Danio rerio: one gene and its partners. The protein of the gene in region 2 purifies or fractionates together with the protein of the main gene of each other region. This does not show direct contact. Links are inferred from orthologs where the notes say so. Each region holds a gene or a part of one and is shown on either strand. Other genes may lie near its edges.

Evidence for each region. The genes of interacting proteins can lie anywhere in the genome.
Region 1: the proteins of rcc1 (region 2) and xpo1b purify together in Homo sapiens (affinity purification with mass spectrometry; 3 studies listed by BioGRID and IntAct, with this or other methods). This does not show direct contact. The link is inferred for Danio rerio from reciprocal best matches to the Homo sapiens genes RCC1 and XPO1.
Region 3: the proteins of rcc1 (region 2) and ranbp1 purify together in Homo sapiens (affinity purification with mass spectrometry; 3 studies listed by BioGRID and IntAct, counting the BioPlex papers as one, with this or other methods). This does not show direct contact. The link is inferred for Danio rerio from reciprocal best matches to the Homo sapiens genes RCC1 and RANBP1.

The regions. Positions count from the first base shown.
Region 1 is NC_133192.1:25,314,376-25,320,748, reverse strand, and holds the start of xpo1b (exportin-1), read right to left. Parts: upstream 4,253-6,373; 5' UTR 3,665-4,252; coding exon of another isoform or gene 3,662-3,664; 5' UTR 2,575-3,661; coding exon 2,548-2,574; intron 2,278-2,547; coding exon 2,146-2,277; intron 149-2,145; coding exon 47-148; intron 1-46. UniProt on the Homo sapiens protein: Mediates the nuclear export of cellular proteins (cargos) bearing a leucine-rich nuclear export signal (NES) and of RNAs.
Region 2 is NC_133191.1:37,421,416-37,427,883, reverse strand, and holds the start of rcc1 (regulator of chromosome condensation), read left to right. Parts: upstream 1-2,862; 5' UTR 2,863-2,949; intron 2,950-3,759; 5' UTR 3,760-3,790; coding exon 3,791-3,863; intron 3,864-5,252; coding exon 5,253-5,440; intron 5,441-5,550; coding exon 5,551-5,730; intron 5,731-6,468. UniProt on the Homo sapiens protein: Guanine-nucleotide releasing factor that promotes the exchange of Ran-bound GDP by GTP, and thereby plays an important role in RAN-mediated functions in nuclear import and mitosis.
Region 3 is NC_133180.1:19,736,874-19,743,016, reverse strand, and holds the start of ranbp1 (ran-specific GTPase-activating protein), read left to right. Parts: upstream 1-1,891; 5' UTR 1,892-2,047; coding exon 2,048-2,062; intron 2,063-3,257; coding exon 3,258-3,394; intron 3,395-5,746; coding exon 5,747-5,904; intron 5,905-5,990; coding exon 5,991-6,119; intron 6,120-6,143. UniProt on the Homo sapiens protein: Plays a role in RAN-dependent nucleocytoplasmic transport. Alleviates the TNPO1-dependent inhibition of RAN GTPase activity and mediates the dissociation of RAN from proteins involved in transport into the nucleus.

The sequences.
Region 1 (6,373 bases), on a different chromosome or scaffold from region 2:
TAGAAACCATGACCCACCAACTGGAGCAAGTTGGGTCTCTGCTTACTTTGGTGTTCATGTTTTGAGAGAACTCTAGAATGGTGTCGACTCGTGTCCACGCATCTGGGTGCTCCTTCAAATGAGTCAGCACCTCCTGGGCCATTCTTTGCTGAAACAAAAAAACATTCATCTTAACTTGTATAACACTATGGTGCAACAATATACTGGCTGAGTGTTAATGATGTCAGTGCATTCACTAATGTATATAGTAAATAAACAAACACTGCCATTTAAAAAGTGACATATATATATTTGTACAATTGTAAAAAGCTGCCAACTTTTTATATTATTTTTGAGTACAATTTATTTCTAAGATGCATTTTGAATTTAAACGAAAGAAGAATATTTTCAGTGGTAACAGAATGTCACAGTAAGGTTCCTCATGTAAAAATACATAATTTCTGCAAACCCTAAGGATTTTAAATAACTAATAAAAATAAATTAATTCAATTTAATCCAATTAAACAAAATTTTTCATTTGTTTGTTGTATTGTTAAGCTACACAAAAGTAAACTCAAATTTAATGTTGTAAATGAATCTGTTATATATATATATATATATATATATATATATATATATATATATATATATATATATATATATATATATATATATATATATATATATAAAACATACTGTCACTCAACAGATAGAGAACAATGCAGAATACATCAGTGAGCAAATCAATGCAAAGGCAGGTGCAGATTTACTACCGTTTTCTGCATGAACTAGGCCTGAACGATTTGTCCTAAAACCTAAATCTCGATTAATTAAACATTTTAACTCGATTACGATTAATGAAAGATTGTTTAATTTATTTGTTTTATGTTTTTGCCCTCATAGTTCACTGACAAGTTTTGTACAGTAAATGTGCTCACATATTACAAGTGAGAGATTTTTGATTGTGCATTACTTGATTAAAATTAAAGGAAACACACACTATCTACTGTCTATGATTATTTATTGAACATCAATATTGAACAACTGAGATAAAGACAAACAGTGCCTAAAACGCGGCTCTCCACGCCGCGCACCCACGTCACCTCTACCAAACTGACCAATCACAAAGCTTGTGCAACGTGTCGTTGTGACGCGCAATTACATTTTTTTGAGAAGTGTGCAGGTATGTGAACGCTTTGCTGGACTGTATGTGCCCTTGGCAGAAGTATAAAATGGAATATAATAGGATAAATTGGCCTTGAACAAGCGGGGTCACGTAACTCAACACATGGTAGGGAAAGTAATTGAAAAAATTTACTTGGAAAAATTTGATCAATTACAGGTTCTAAATGTCGATTTCGATTACTTTTCGATTGAGCTCCTTTGTGTTATAAATGGAATTATGCTTTCATTGTAATTTGTTTATCTTAAAATGTTTTGAAAAATCATGCATAAGTTCATATGATTAAATTCAAGATATATTAATAAATATTTATTTTTTTAAATAAATCAGGAAATTATCCACTGCCATTTTGTAATACATTTTATTAATCTTAGGTCCAAAATCCATAATTAAGTTGGCCCATAGTTATGTTTGGCCCTTCATTAGAAAAGGTTAGGGCGTTCCTGACCTAGATGATCTCACCCAACTACATTGAATAGGTGTCTAGGAATCTATCAATCAATATATCAATCGAAATACATCATTCAACATCAACACAAAATTTAAATGAATTGCTTTATATATTTTTAAATGCATTTGGATCATATAATTGTAGTTATTTTCTTGTTAAACTTATCAAGTACACAGTTTTGTACCTTTGTTTTCATCAAGTTTTCATAATCATCTTCGCTAGTAATATTGTAAATTACCTCAAAGTAGCTTGGTTCCATTAACGAGTTACATGATGTTTTATTTTAAAATACACTGCTGGTAAAGTGCAGACAGGGTTATATTTATCCAGTCTTTTGTCAAATGATCACCAAATTAATGCTTATTTCAGGACTCTTAGAATAATACTTTCCCTTTCAATCCATTTATTGTTATTTGTATTGACTATTTTATTATTTGATGTGCACTGGATAATTATCAGCTAATGTTATGTTATATCTTCAACACATACATCTGGTGCTGTATTTACCAATTTGTAAAATGATCTTACTTACCTGTGGCCCAACTCCATGGTACAGGCAGTTGACCACATTATCCAGCAGGTTGATATCCAATTTCTGGTTAAAGTCCAGCAGCTGTCTGGCTGCGTGGTCGGCTAACATTGTCATAATTGCTGGCATAGAGCTCTGTAGGGGACAGGGAGGAAACATCTAGCAGGGGCAAAGTCATGTCAAATGAACATATGGGTACAAAAATCCAAACAGCTGACCATTACGCCCCTCCCTCAACCAAACTCGGGATCACCCAAAAAGCCTTATATGTTCTAGCCTGTCAACACAGTAGTGCCTAATGGAGGGTTTAATCCTTAATAACAATAGGATAGGTTGGTGGCGTGATAAAGGTAACATGTTTGCAGCTTGGATATCCTGATGTGTGGAGAAACAAGAGACACTCACTGGGCTCATGATCATCACACCAGCCATTATTCTCTGAATGAGACCACGTGCTAGGCAGCCCTTTCGCTGACGACATTGTTTACATATAACAGAGGCGTAGCGTTACCGAGCGCTCTGCGTTAGTACACACTTTCTTTCTACTTTCATAAGACCACAACCACAAGACCTAATGCTGACTCGTAGTAGACTGAAGGACACTTGAATGGCCATTGCTCAAGCTAATTCAATTTGTACCCCGAAGCCAAACTGTTGCGTAACGAGGTAAGCATTACGGCCAAGAACCAAAAGAAGTTTGGCATCGGAGGAAATTTCAAGAATTTATTTAGACACGACAGTCAAGCTTTATGAGACCACGGGTCTCGCAGGCATAAACAAAGTGATGTGGTGTGCCATAACTAATCGTCAGTACTGCGCAACCTGTTGATTTACCCTCCTTTTCCACACATCACCTTATTTCATTCAGTAAGCTGTGACCACAATAGGATCTGTAACCCAACATAGAGCTACTAAGCATGCACACGTTTTCAAAACACAACTGGGTTGGACTAAGATAATGCCGCTTATGATGTTCTAGTTGTGTTGATATAGACTAGAACCCCTAATAATGCGTCGCTGTACATGACAGCAACTGCGTATGCATACAATCGTACAAAAGCGCTTGAATGGACGCTTTAGCGCGCGACTGACGTTAAAACGTCCAAGCAAACACCTCTTCCGTGAGAAAACACTGACGTTTCTGACGGACTACACCCGTTTTTGGATGACTTCTACGGGGGTGACTTTGCAAGGATCTCCCTCGCTGACTCTGGAGCAACCCCTCCCACCAACAGCATGCTCTGCACCCTACACCTGAAAGCTCTGCAGGCTTCACCAGCAGTAAACCAGGTAAGTAACACACTGTGGGTGCGTTATACGCGTTTAAATAACTAATGCTTTGGCTCTGGAACAGTCCGGAATGCGGTTTACAGTTGAATGACGCTCGCTAAACCCAAACAAGCGTGCTGCTGAAGTCTAACGTTAGCTCGTGATCGGAAGCGATGCAGTTGTTATTGTTATGATGTTACGTGAGATTAAAACTATTTTTCAAACGAACAAACCCCAAATATAACGTTACCATTTAGTCCAGCGTGACACCAGGAGCCATCACGCCACACACCCGCAACATCCAACAAACACTCAGCAGCACAACCAGCTCACTTTCTTTCGACTTCAACCTCCATACGTGCAATTTCTATTCATTTCAACACAATCTCACAGCATCATCATTCTCCAAACCAACCCAAGCACTCTAACTAGAAGTTTGCACCCCAAATTTACCTACCTAAAGTCCAAGCCTTTGAGAGAAAGAAGGTGGGCTTGTCTGCCAGAGTTGCTAAAATAATGTTTATTTGATCCAGTATCGCTGGTGCCTGTTTGTACACGCTTTCTGGAAAAAAAGCTTTAGGATGAGCCGTTGGCTGGTCAGCCACACTATTCCTCTGTGAAGACTACACGAGCTAGTAGCTTGATTTAAGGACCACTAGGATGTGAATTCCGCACCATCAATCACGGCGAGTTCAGTATTTTCTTACTCCGGTTCATTTTACGAAACAAAGTTAACCTTATTTCAGAAATGTGCTCTATACTTAAGTATATTTTGCACCAGGGCGGTATTAGAGTCTGAGCCTGTGCGCCTCTTCTTCTCACAAGCAACAAACTCGTAACCGGTTGAAACCGGTTCAGACTGGGAGATTCCATCTCGGTTTAGTTTTCAGCCGATGGCGCCGCGAAAAGTTTGGATTAACGTCACGCCCATGGCGGCCTGCTAATGGCCGTTGCGTTGCTAAGCACGTCCTCGCTCACACACCATTGGACGGCGAGCACGTCAATCAATCTATACTCTTTCTAGCGCCCACGCGACCGCTCCGCCCGTTTGGAGAAAAAGAAGGCAAACTGCGTGCAGAATGGACCTGTAATTCCTGATATTATTGCTCTCGTGTGTTTTGTTACTATTGTAAGGAAAAGCTAGTTTTAGCGTTAATAGTAACGTGTTTTGCACGACTCCGTCGATAAACATTCGCGTTTATATCCGCCGCGAGCTTTAATTTGATATTCCCCAGCAGTGCGCGTCTGATAATTGCATACATGCTCGGGAAAATGAATTTCAGGGTGGACTGAAGGAGATCGAGGGCATCGAGTCCGTGAGGCGGATGTTGGAGCTTGTACTTGTGCTGATTGTAAGCTGGTAATTTTCCACGAGCCACGAAGGGGAGTGGTTGTTCAGAGTCAGGGTATGAGACGCATGGCATGGGTCAGAGCTTGATACAATTGGCTTGTGATGGTCTCCATAAACTTAACTACCGCGAAATTGACTCCGGTATGGTTGTGATGGATGATAAACGCATCGAATCGCTCAAAAACATCATTATAAACAATCGGCGTGCTGTTTCATACAGACGTCAAACGCTCGCATGTTCACCCCCTCTTCGCTAGTCACGTGACGCAACGCCACTTAAACGTCAGTTGATGGAAAAATACTGGATTTTGTGTGCGCAAACTAATGTAGTGCCTGAACTGAACAAAGAATGAGAACAAGAATACATTGTCCTCTAGTCGAGCTGTCATTTAGGCTTAAATAAAACTTCGTTCCACAAGGTCACAGTGTCGAAGTCTTTCCGTTTAGTCCAGCATGTGGTCAGTATTACACACCTTCTGAAATGGCTAACTAAACAAGCAGTGTTACTGCACTTTAGGAATAGTAATTTTGTAAATGATATGCCCAACAACTGATCTCCCTTTTAGTAGAGGCCAGCATTTATTCCAGTGTTAGCTGGTGTTTAATTCAGCATTGCTGTTTTGTGCATTTAAATTGCTCCAGGTGTGATTTGATAATCAGCTGTTGTGTGAATCAGATCTATATTCATTACCTTTTGTTGTGTTTTATTATATGCAGGTCACATGCCGATGTAAACTTTGGAAGAAGAGATCAGTATGATGTGGCTTGAATGAATGTTTGTTTGTGAATCGTGTCTCAGTGTCTAGAAGTTTCTATGATATAGTTACTCATGTTTTCCAGGAATCAGAGTCAACTACTTTGTAACCCCTGTTCCAGTTTCTTTCTTTACAGCAGGTTTCCTGAAGTAATTAATAGATAGAGAATGGGTGTGTTTGGATAACACAGAGTAATATGTTGTGTTCAGTTGTGTGTCTTGTATTTAGTTTGAATTAAAGTGACAGTTCACCTGAAAATTGAAGAAGAAATTCCTCGTTTAAAAAATGTTGGAATACTTTGGTGGTCAACGGCTGCTGGGTTTTCGACATTCTTCAAAATGTCTTCTTTTGTGTTGAGGGTAATTATGAGAGAATTGTTTTTAAATTTTAGGGTGAACTATTTCTTTAAAACTCCAAAATTAAACACTAACTCTTTTAACGTTCACACATGGTGAATGTGCTCTTATTTTAGAAATGATAAGAAATCTCTTGTGTTTCTCAGGCTATGACTTCACTTTGTGTAAAAGAAAACTCACCATGCTTCATTTCTTTGTTGTCTCAGCTGTTTTGAATTATTTTGAGAAATACAATAAAGCATTGAAACTTCTCTGGAAGTCTGGTTTTGTTTATTGTGGGTTCCTGATCATGCATATGTACAAAGCATCAAAAGTATAACTGTGGCTGATGTGAAAACCTTGTATGCTTCCTATATTAAAGTGTGCCATTAATCAGCTCATTACAGAGGGTCTGAAAGTTAACAGGGTCAGGGGGCGAGTGAAAGAGGTCGTCCTGCCGAAGTGAGCTTAGGAGGGCTACACGTGCACTGTGGCACATACATGTGAATGAAATGGGCTGC
Region 2 (6,468 bases):
CAGTGAACTCATATCAGCAGCCAATAACTATCAAAGTACAGCATTGTTCACAGTCAATTAAATGGTGCTAATGTTGTTTTGAAGTCATACTTGCATATCATTTTAGTCTGAATGCAGGGTAAACAATATAGGGAGTTGTCACTGAATAAATGTGCAAATATAAACCCAACTTGACCTCAATAGTTCATTTGGGGTTAATAAAAAAGTTGATCAAGGACAGATTACTTTGTATGTAATAGTTTTTCCAAATTGTAAGGATTCACTGTACATGCAATTATGGAAATATCACAATTGTAGAATTGAATTTTTTAAATGAACATATAAATGACTTATGGGGAAAAAACATAGAAATCCAGATAAGTTTTAATGGTACAGTTTAATGGTTTGTACTATATTTCTTTGTTGTTTTTGTTGTTGTTCAGATCTTTTTTATTAACATTTTGATCAATAAAACAACAATTTTAAAATTTTTTGAAAAACCGATGAGACGATTTATCTTTTTCTCCAACAGAGCCCACTGCACCATTTCTATACACTGTATTATGCATATTTTTTATCTGCTTTACATCATGTCATGATGTACCGTATACATAAATACAAGTATGGGTTAGTAGGTTAGGGTAATTAGGCAAGTAATTTTATAACTGTGGTTTGTTCTGTAGACTATCGAAAACAATATAAAGTTTAAAGGGGCTAATGATTTTGACCATAAAAGGTTTTTTTCTAAAAATTTAAAATGCTTTTTTTCTAATAAAACAAAAGACTTTTTCCAGAAGACAAAATAGTATTAGATATACTGTGCAAATTTCTTGCTGTGAAAATTTCTTGATCATTTGGAAAATAAATAAATAAATAAAATTTAAAAAAAGGTGTAAAGAGGGCTAATAATTCTGACTTCAATTGTAAAACCACACACAAGTCACACTAGGCTTAGTAAATATATTAAAAAAAGAAAATAATAAAGATATAATTTAAAATGGAGGGAAGAAAAAGTTAGAAACAAATGAACAACTTTTGGATCAATTTGCTCTATATATGTATTAAAAAATAAGATTACATTTTTGACTGCAACCTTTGGTAGAGCACCAAATCTTTTCCATTGGAAGATACTAAGATGCCGAATCCAATGATTGCAAGGGTCAATTGATACATGCAAAATATTTGAAACTATTTGTACTATAATTTGATTGTATTCCATTACCTATTGTATACCCTGGTGAAAAATCCAGCTTAAACCAGCCTAGGCTGGTTGGCTGGTTGACCAGCCTGGTTTTAGAGGGGTTTTGGCCATTTCAAGGTTTTCAGCTATTTCCAGCCTGGTCTTAGTTGGTCAGGCTGGAAAATGACCAGCCAAATCCATCTAAAACCAGCTTGACTAGCCTGGTTTAAGCTGGATATAGCTGGTTTTGGCTGGACTCCCAGCTTGGCTAGGCTGGTCAAGCTGGTTTTAGCTGGTCATCTCTCAGCCTGACCAGCTAAGATCAGGCTGGAAATGACTGGAAACCAGCCTGGAAGTGGCCAAAACCCCTCTAAAACCAGCCTGGTCGACCAGCTAAAACCAGCTAGATTTTTCAGCAGGGTATAGAGGCTGTTATAGTTTCCATTATAATTATTTATCATTATAACCAATAAAACTGCTACAAATTTATGGGTTTCTATGTTTTTTTTATTTATTTATAATTTTTTTTTATTATTAAAGGATGTTAAAGCTCTTTGTAAAAGAGCAGTTTACACCATCCCAGCTGGGAATTAAAGGTCTAAATACTTTTTAACCACATTTGTTCTGCATTTCATGTGTCTGCAACTTCCAAGAAAGAAAAAAAAAAGATGATTAGCAACAAATGTACAAGGATGAGGTTTCACAGTTTCGTTTTAAGGAAATGTCAGAAATGGGTAATAATCCTCATTTCAATCATGACAGAATCTACTTATTTTTCATTTGTGTCTTGTACACTTAAAAAAATACTTTTGCTGTTTGTTCTAACCACAAAAATGAGTTGAAACAAGACACAATAAGGTACAACTTAACTGTTTTAAGTTCAAACTACTTGTATAAAAAAAAGATTAAGCGAACCTAATAAATTTGTGTTGGGACAACATGGAGTGGTGGAACCCAGCATTTATTACAGTGTATAAAATATAGAAAAAAGGCAGCCATCAAATAAAACTAAATTATTTTTGTATAGATAACATCACGCGTAATTTAAAAAAAAAGGTTTTTCTTTGATTCAGCTTTTTCTTTTATTTATTTATTTATTCATTTATTTATTTATTTATTTTTTAAGTTTTTGTCTGAGATTGCCAGGTATGTATCTGAGGAGGGGTTTTTTTTCGTGACAACAAGCTTCTATAGTGCAACAGAATTACATAAACAGGACAAAAAAACTGATAAAAATCTAGTTTAAAAATAGAGGTAGTTAATGCAAATGTACAAAGTGACACGTGTTTGTATTATATGTGCAAACTGGCGTGTAAAGTACGTTGTTAAATAAGTTTGTGTGTAAAAAGAAGTGAAGTTTCTTTCACAATTACTGTCATAAGGTGTTGATGGGATGGATTGCCAGAGGGAACTGTTTCTGTGTCGGGCTGTTAAGAAAAACTAATAGTTGAAGAACATCATTAAAAACTTTTAAACGGATAAAACAACGTTTAACTATAAACACGTGCATTAAATTTGGTATTCTAACGTAAAATGACGATTAGCATGATAAAGCTAATTCTTATTTTACAGACGTTTCTACCCGCCTTCCCAATAGTTGGCGCTTCTGAGTCTGTTTATTAGCGCGAATCCACCGGGTCACACGAAGTAGTGCAAGAGTGAGACACGCGTGCGTTACATTCACTCAATGAGTTATTGATGTTCACAAACCTCCTCGAGCGAACACAAACTTTGAACCTGGGAGATTTTCATACACAAGTGTAGCTCATCATCTCAGCTGCCTGTTGACGGTAAGATTAAAAATATTAGTCTTCAGAAAGCATGAGAAATGTAGTGTATGTAGAGCTTGTGAAATGTGTTGCGGAACAAGCCTGAGCCTGTTTGACCCATTCATTGCTATTAACCTCATTTAAAGTGTCTCAACATGATTTTTGTGATGACTTTTCATCAAACTAACTTAAAGGTCACGAGAATAAAACATGGCTTCAAAATGCTATTAGAGACTGCGTTTGTTTTAAATTTTAGCGGGATGTTCCTTTAAGACGTTGAACTTGAACTCAGATCTTATTCCGCCATGTTTAAATTAGTTTCCTGCATTAAAGCTAAAACAATAACAGCCTCGTCTGTTTTCCCCCTCTAATGCCGTGTTAGCCGATTAACCGCCATCAAACATTTGCTGCTGTCAGTCACAAACCGTGAAGTCACAGCCAGAAAAAGAGGCTGTGTGTCAAAAACTCGTCAGTTGCCTGCAATGACCACATTTATAACTGTTATGATGCCAAAAAAAGATGTGTGCCTGTATAAGACCATACACGTTCACGTGCATTAATGCTATACATAGTCAATATACAGCAAAGTGGCTCTAAATGTAATGTAATGATTTATATGTTGTTTACTTAATATGAGATCTATTTTAAAATTATATTAAACAACAAAAACAAAATAAATTGAATTTACTTTTAAGACCTATTCTAGTCTATCATGTTTTTTTTTTTGTAGGCCTGAAGTTCAGTCTTGATTGCTAGATTGGTTAAATAACTTGTCTAAGAAACTATTTTTTTTTCTCTGATGCTTGTTTGTTAACCTGTCTTTATTCATAGTTTCAGGTTTTGTCAAGCATCTGGGCTTACCATGTCTGCAAAAAAAGCTGTGAAGAGACAAACAGCGGCACCAAGCGATTCAACAGTTGCGAAAAAGCTAAAAGGTCATTATTTCATAAAGACTTTTTAATGTTTCTTTAAAGCATAAGAATATTCATATAGCTATTAGGTGTAAATTTGTTGTCAGAAGGAAACAAACTATGATATGTACCTCAAATTTGAAGTTACTGTTGTGTACTCTGTTTTGTGAATATCAATATAGAGGCCTAGATATACACTCACCAGCCACTTTATTAGGTCCAACTGCTCATGAACGCAAATGTCTAATCAGCCAATCACATGGCAGCAACTCTATGCATGCCATGGCGATCTGCTGCAGTTCAAATAGAGCATCAGAATGAAGATGAAAGATGATTTGAGTGACTTTGAGCATGGCATGGTTGTTGGTGCCAGACAGGCTGGTCTGAGGCAAATGGGCAACAGCAGCAGAAGACCACACCGGGTGCCACACCTCTCAGCTAAGAACAGGAAACTGAGGCTACAGTTCACATAGGCTCACCAAAATAAACAATAGAAGATTGGAAAAATGTTTCCTGGTCTGACATTCTTATGCTAGGGTCAAAACTTGCCATCAACAACATGAAAGCATGGATCCATCCTGCCTTGTATCAATGGTTCAGGCTGATGGTGTAATTGTGTGGGGGATATTATCTTGGCACACTTTGGGCCCATTAGTATCTATTGAGCATCAAGTCAAAGCCAAAGCCTATCTGAGCATCGTGTCTGACCATGTCCATCTCTTTATGACCACAGTGTACCCATCTTCTGTTGGCTACTTCCAGCATGATAACGCACTGTCATAAAGCAAATCATCTCAAACTGGTTTCTTGAACATGACCATCAGTTCACTGTTCTTAAATGGCCTCCGCAGTCACCAGTTCTCAATCCAATAGAGCAGGGGTCACCAATCTCGTTCCTGGAAGTCCGGTGCCCTGCAGAGTTTAGCTCCAACTTGCCTAAACACACCTGCTTGGGTGTTTCAAGTATACCCAAGACCTTGATTAGCTTGTTCGGGTGTGTTTGATTAGGGTTAGAGCTAAAATCTGCAGGACACCGAACCTCCAGGTACAAGTTTGGTGATCCCTGCAATAGAGCGTCTTTGAGATGTGGTGAACGGGAGATTTGCATCATGGAAGTGTAGATGACAAATCTGCAGCAACTGTGATGCTATCATGTCAATATGGACCAAAATCTTTGAGGAATATTTCCAGTACCTTGTTGAATCTATGCTGCGAAGGATTAAGGCTGTTCTGAAGGCAAAAGGGTCGAACCCGGTACTAGTATGGTGTACCTATAAAAGTGGCCAGTGAATGTATATTGATTTGCTTAACAAATTCTAGTTATGGGTTTAGATTAATGGATTTATTTTATCTCTGGAGCCACTCATTTTGTGCCACATGCCTCTGAATGTTTCTATTTTTGTTGATTTGTAGTCTCTCATATCAGTCATGGCCAGGAGAAGGGCCTGGTGCTTGTTCTGGGTCAGGGTGATGTTGGTCAGCTTGGCCTGGGAGAGGATGTGATGGAGAGGAAGAAACCAGCTCTAGTGACTCTTCCTGAGGGTATTGTGCAGGCAGTAGCTGGAGGAATGCACACAGTCTGCCTCAGTGACACGGGAAACGTAAGCTCTACACAAATAACATTAATCATAACAGGCTTGAATAGTCATGTTAGTGGGGATTTGAGGTCAGGACTAAAGTTTTTTTTGTTGTTTTTAATGTCGACTTGTAGGTTTATACATTTGGCTGTAATGATGAGGGTGCGCTGGGCCGGGACACATCTGAGGAGGGTTCAGAGACGGTGCCAGCAAAGGTGGATCTTGGAGAGAAGATCATTCAGGTCTCTGCAGGGGACAGTCACTCTGCAGCCCTCACAGAGGACGGAGGCGTCTATGTCTGGGGCTCTTTTAGAGTGAGTATTGCCTTTTTGTGTGCTGCCTTATAGGTCTGGGTATTATGGCCTGAATTATCATAACATTTTTCATATCAGTTGATATCTGGAATTATCTCGATAAATCGCCACTTTAGAATTATAAGGTTCTATCTGACATTTTTGCCAAAATTGAGTAGACATATTCTTGTTAAATGACAACTTATTGACATTGAGATACTTTTTATAAGGTGTTTACATTTTAAGACTTTTTATTAAAAAAAAAAAAGTTACACGCATACTGTCTGCTATGAAATGCAAAAACCTTGAAGCTTGATATCTCAAAATCAACCTGCACCCAGATAGAACCTTATAATTCCAAGGTGATGAAATGTCAAATCTGTTTTAAGTGCAAGACAGATGTTTCCACGTAAGTGAAAGTTGTAGGAACCATAGTTTATTGTTGTTGAAACATGACAAATGTCAAACAGATGTACATTTAAAAATCCTGACATGCAGTATCTGATAAATATTTATAAAACTTATTAGATGCACCTTTATCTTTTGTTTTATATGTAAAATATATTAAAGGAATGCTTAACTTTTTTTTCTTTTTTTAGAAATAAGCTCCTTTAACAAGTCTACAGTTGCCATTTTTTAATTCATCTAGCCAACCTGAGGCTGGTCTCAAATTAAAGGGATAGTTCACCAAAAATATGAAAGTTTACACAGAAGTTTTACAAAACCTTTGAGTTTTTGTTGAACCAAAATAAGTTTTTT
Region 3 (6,143 bases), on a different chromosome or scaffold from region 2:
TGCATCTGCAATTCAGGGCTCTAAAAATGTTTTTAAATATGCAGTGAGATATGAAAGCTTCATTATCAGATTACATTTAAAGTAATCATCTGTCATCTTCCTCACCTCTCATCTTTGATTTTTTAAATCACTAATGTCAAAGTCAAGAAGATCAAAGCATACGGATTTCATAAAAAGCTTATTAAACGAACAACAGTGTATGTAGCTGGCATACCTGGATATTCAACATTTTAATTCAGCAAAACTTAATTTATGTAATATAAAATGTTTCAGAAATAATACAAGGAACATAAAAACAGGTACACACACACTCACACAGAGAGAGACACAATTAACAGAGTGTACAGTGATTTAAAAGATTATCGGGGAGATACTTTCTTTTTTTTTCTTTTTTTTTCTTTTTTTTGCAGTAGCCCGTTTAATACATATCTCAGATATTTTGCTTTTCAGCAGTTTCACAGAAGAAATAATGAAATGAAAATAAAAAAAAACGTTAACATAGGAGATGACTTAGCACATTTTTGTTTATGTATATGACATTTTGCCAATAGAGGTTATCAAAAAAAATCCAGATCTTTATTAGATTTGTTTTTGTAATATGAAAAAATATCAATGTTTTATTGTATCATAATTATCAAACATTGTCTAAAGGCATATTTTGCTAGGCACACCTATATTCAACATTCAAAAATTAAGTTACATTCAAACAGGTCTAAATGTGAGATGCTCTATCCGCTTTACAGAAGCAGCACATATCATCCATATCGATCTTATTCACATGGGTAAACTGTATGTAGGATTCTGAAGTAATTTTATTTGATTTTATTGTTGTTACAGTATTTAACAGAACTTTTTTTTCTTTTTTCTTTTTTTCTATTATATGCGTTAAACAACAAATATGTGACAGTATAGTAAAATAATGCCAGGGTGATAGAAAGTAAATAATAACAACAATACACACACAAAATAGACACTCTATCTTGTTCATTTTTTGAAATGACAACACCTAAATAGTTAACAGCTTCTTCAACTGGTATACCTTCTACAGATAATAGGGGAGAATTTTTATATTTCACAATTTATGAGGAGATTAGGTGCAAACATCAGGCATTAGAGAACAACTGAATAGATTTGATAACCTGATGAACCTGGTTTGAGTCTTTTACAAATAAGGCTGTATCGTCTGCTTACTGACTAATTAAAACATTTCGTCTAGCAATTTGGATTCTAGTGACAGAAGGCTTGGGCTACTATGAGAAACAGGTACACAGAGGCTGGACAGCCTTGCCGAATTCCTCTTTCTAATAGAAATCTCTGTGTAGTTCAATGTCCTCATTTCACTGAGCTATTTCCCCCGTCATACAGCGTACTCATCCCCTTACAAAAGAAGGGCCCAAAACCGAATTTCTCTAAACATGTATTTAACAGCACTTTTTATTTATTTATTAAAGAATGCTAATATTCAACCACAATCAGGAGACTGATATGAGAGAGATACAAAGGAGAGAAAAAAATACAAACTACCTAAGCTGAAGAAAGAAAAAAGAATAACAAAACAAAGTAAATTACAATTGTAAAAAAAGTGTATGAAAATAAATTAAGAGCATTAGGAAAGCTATCTAACTCAACGCAGAGTCAATAGACAACAGTTCTTCATATAGAACCAGTAATTTGACACATTTTTTGTTTTGACACATACGGAAAGATTTGAGCAGTGAGTTACCTTCAATCAGAAAATGTCCAAAAGTAGGGACTGAAGCCATGCACTTTTGCTTATGTTTAAAAAAATCTAAACAAGATAAAAAAGTTAAAGATAAATTCTTTAGATTTATGTGAAGATTCTGAGTGATAACAAATAATTTCTTTTAGGATTTAACAGAACTTTGTGCGTAGCTGAAGTGCGCCATGACGTAGCGCGGCTGCGCTGACGTCACCGTCTCTCTTCTCCGGTTATGCGCGCGCGAAAGTAGCGAAGTGAAATCTCACGAGCTCGCACTGATCAAAACCAACAGATACTCTCTCTAATCGAAAAACATCTGCAAAAACCATGGCGGACACAAAGGTAAGAGGGCCATCATCTTCAGCCTCTGTGTCTTTCGAACAGCGAGAGATGCTTATTTTGGTTGTTTTGTTGGCGATAAATGTTTTATGAGGGTCTTACTTAACAGACTGTAAAAAGCAGGTGTTTTCCCGGTTTTGCATTGTGCGCTTGGATATTCAGACGTTAGAACTTCTTGGTGTCATTTTAAATACTCACTATTGCTTTTTCATACGCTGTCAAAGTCGTTTGTTTATTTACAATCACGCTTTACATTCAGTAGCACCAGTAACGTTATTAAAATTCATTATTCTGTGTCGATTAGCACTCGCTACTTGCTTAAACACAAAGGACAAGCAAATATTGATTTTTAGGAACGTAATAAACATATTCCTCGCATGCTCCAAGTAAAAACGGCTCATACTTTAATTCGAAAGCTTGAAATGCTAACGCACTGTTAGCTTGTGTGTTAGCACTGCTAACCTGCGGCACGTGAAGTTCAAACCCGGTTTATCAACACTCTTCCGGGGTTAATTACGTGATTTAACTGTATTTGCTCAAGCAGTGCAAAATATGGGCTGCGAAACTACGAGTCGAGCACTTAAACGCCTTTAGGCCGCTTATTAGCAGCTTCTAGCTTGGATGCTAACTTAACTGACTGACCACTTTTGAAAACTCGTTTAACTCCCACATTAATTCATACACATCTGATATCCGGTCTTCAGTCAAGTCAGTCGTTTAGCTAAGTAAGCTGCTCAGCTCTGAAAATGCGAAGTGATCAACTTGGGAGCGGTTCAGAGCATCACATCATGTGCAGAAGATCTGCCAGAGTTGATCAGAAAGCTTTTCAATAATTAAAGCTTACAAGGCCTTCATGAATGTGAGACCAGTGATTAGTGAAGAGCAAGTGCATTGATTCCGCCAGCATCACAGCATGCGAGTTCAAGCACCAGTGGATGCAAGTTTGGTTGCAGCAGCAAATTTGGAGACAATAGGCCAAACTCCAGAGAATGATCCCTCCAAATCCCGCAGCCTTTCACTCCACTGATCTGATGAGTAATGTGGAAGCAGGATCCCCACAGAAGGGATCAGGACTTGTGAGCCTCAGCAGAACAAATACTGTAGTAAATGTGTGGCGTTCTCCAAAAATACCTGTTTTAGCTTATGTCATGTTTAAGTTTGATTTAATAAAAGCTGCTCTTTTAATTTTCCCCTCCAGGAGGCACAAGATGAGCATGAACCATCCACTGAGAACGTTGAGGAATCCAACCATGACCCTCATTTTGAGCCCATCGTCTCACTACCCGAGCAGGACGTTAAGACCTTAGAAGAGGATGAGGAGGAGCTTTTCAAGATGTAAGTCATTAACTGAGGTTTATATTAGGGCTGCACAGTAGATGATTTCAGCATTGATATCGCAATGTGAGTCCACAACAGTCTCATCACAGGGATCTGCAATGTAGTTGATCAGACAATACGGTTAACAACATAGTGGCGTTGTTTAAAAATTTTAACCTTCGAATGAAAATGTATTATTTGCATTTGTTTTTAAGACTTGACTGTAGGAATTTGAAGCAAATATAAGCCATTTTGGCACAATACATTAAACGTTTGTAGCTTAAAGACTGATTGGACATTATGTAGTTATTTACTCAATTAAAATGATAGTGTTGTTGTTATACAGTGATCATTTAATTTCGGCTTCTGAATACTGTTTGACTCCCCAGAAAATTATAAATCCTCGTTTGTTTGCATCTTTTCTCTGTTGTATTTAACTTTGCTTGTAATTTTTTTAAATTATATTTTATGCAGATATGCTCCCTTACAGAATCATCCCAGTCGATCTAAAATTGAGTTCTTTACAAGCTATTTGTCATCTGCTGAAATTTATTTAAATTATATAAATTTATATTCATTTATATCGCAGTGAATAAAAATATTTCAATGTCTATTTTTTTTATAGTATCGTGGAGCCCTAGTTTTTTAATATATTAAAAAATAAATAAATAAAAAATCCCATGTAACTGCATTCTAAGAGCACTTTATATCACACTAGCTGTTTCCATCCACTTATTTTTATGCGCATTATGGATATGCTCATAAAAAACTGGTTGATGGAAACGCCAAAATGTGTATAAAAACTTATGCGCATAACTGTAGGATAAACTTTTTATTCGATATAAAAAGATGCGCATAAACTGATGGAAACGCTTTTAACGAATATATTTCAGTATATGCATTAAAGTCATATGATTTTGTTATAAGAGATCATGTGATGATAAAAATATGTGAATGAATAAACCAGCTGGCTGAGCACCCTGTGAACATCTGACATGTTGTTTAGGTGATTCTAAAACGGCTTAACTATTTCAATATTATTGTTATTATATTATTAATAACCTCCAGAATCAAGAGCATCTGTGCTCCGCATCTTATGCCTTCTAATGTCACTACTCGTTCACTGCGTGTCAGGATTGCCTTCTGAGGCGCAAGTCATTTATTAAATGAAGAAAAGATTCACGCAGCTTCTTCTACCACAGCCAATTCAGTTTCTACTGTTGCCACCATATAATTAGTAAGTGACGATTTTGTTTGCTTTGACTTGTTGGATGGAAACTGTTTTATTCACACATCTTTTATGCAATATTCCAGTTTTGTGCATTATTAATTAGCATTCTTTATAAAAACATAGCTACTTATGCATGCACTAAAAAGTTTTTTTATTTGCTTTTTTTAAAAACTGTTTGATGACAGCTTAAAGTGTTGTCAATCACATATATTTATAGATTACTAAAAGGCTTTTATGCTTGTCATTCTGCGAAATTTTTTAATGACCACAGAGTCAGGACCTCAGTTTAATGTTGCATCCAATAGATGGCGAACTGACAGTATAGTGTCCTCTTCATTTTCACTGGGGGCATTAGGACTCACAATGACCACAGGTTGAGCGCCCCCTGCTGGCCTCAAGCACCACTTCCAACAGCAACCTAGTTTTCTCATGTGGTCTCCCATCCAGGTTCTGACCAGGCTCAGTCCTGCTTAGCTTCAGTGAGTAACCGGTCTTGGGCTGCAGGGTGATATGTCTGTGTAAACTAAAACTAAACATGCATTGAGCAAGAAGATTTTACCAATACATATTTTTGTTGGTTTACACTGGAACCATAATTGTACTGTTTTAAAAGCAGCTTTAAAATGCTGGTCTTCTGTAAAGCAAATGTTTTTTTTTTTTTTTGATTTACAGATACTATTGTATACATCAGTCTTGTCATTGATTAACATTAATATGTGATGGACTAACACATCTGATTTTCTAATTACGGTAAAGTGTAAGGATAAATTGTTCAAGTATACTTGCTATTATACTATTCTATTATTATTTTTTACATAATTTGTGTGTTTGGCGTGACTTGAGAGAACTTATTCTGCATCTTTTTTTTTTCTGTGTGTTGTCTTGTGCTTCAATGGTTTAAACTTATATTGTCTTGAAATTACAGTTGACACTTTTGTAAAAGTGTATTTAGTGCTTGCCAAGAGCCATCAGGCACTTATTGTTATATATACAAACTATACATTGAAACTAGGTCATTTATAGAAAATATTAGTTATTATATCGTGAATATTAGTTACTCACACAATCTACATTGTAAAAGTGCTATAGAATTAAAGAATTAAATACGTCTTTGACCATTGATGCATTTTTGTGTGTAGGAGGGCAAAGTTGTATCGTTTTGCCAGTGAGAACGACCCTCCTGAGTGGAAGGAGCGCGGGACAGGTGATGTCAAACTTCTGCGACACAAAGAAAAGGGCTCCATCCGCCTTCTCATGAGGAGAGATCGTACCCTCAAAATCTGTGCCAACCACCACAGTAAGTGGAGCGAGTGATCTCTTGAATTCTTTATTTTTTTTCAGTGTGCATATGGCTTTAATTGATCTGTTAACCCTTTGCTCTAGTTATGCCGCTGATGGAGCTGAAGCCCAATGCAGGCAGTGACAGGGCCTGGGTGTGGAATACACATGCCGACTTTGCAGATGAAAAACCCAAAGCAGAGATGCTGGCTATTCGATTCCTTAATGCAGAAAGTGAGTATAATTGAACAAATCTCA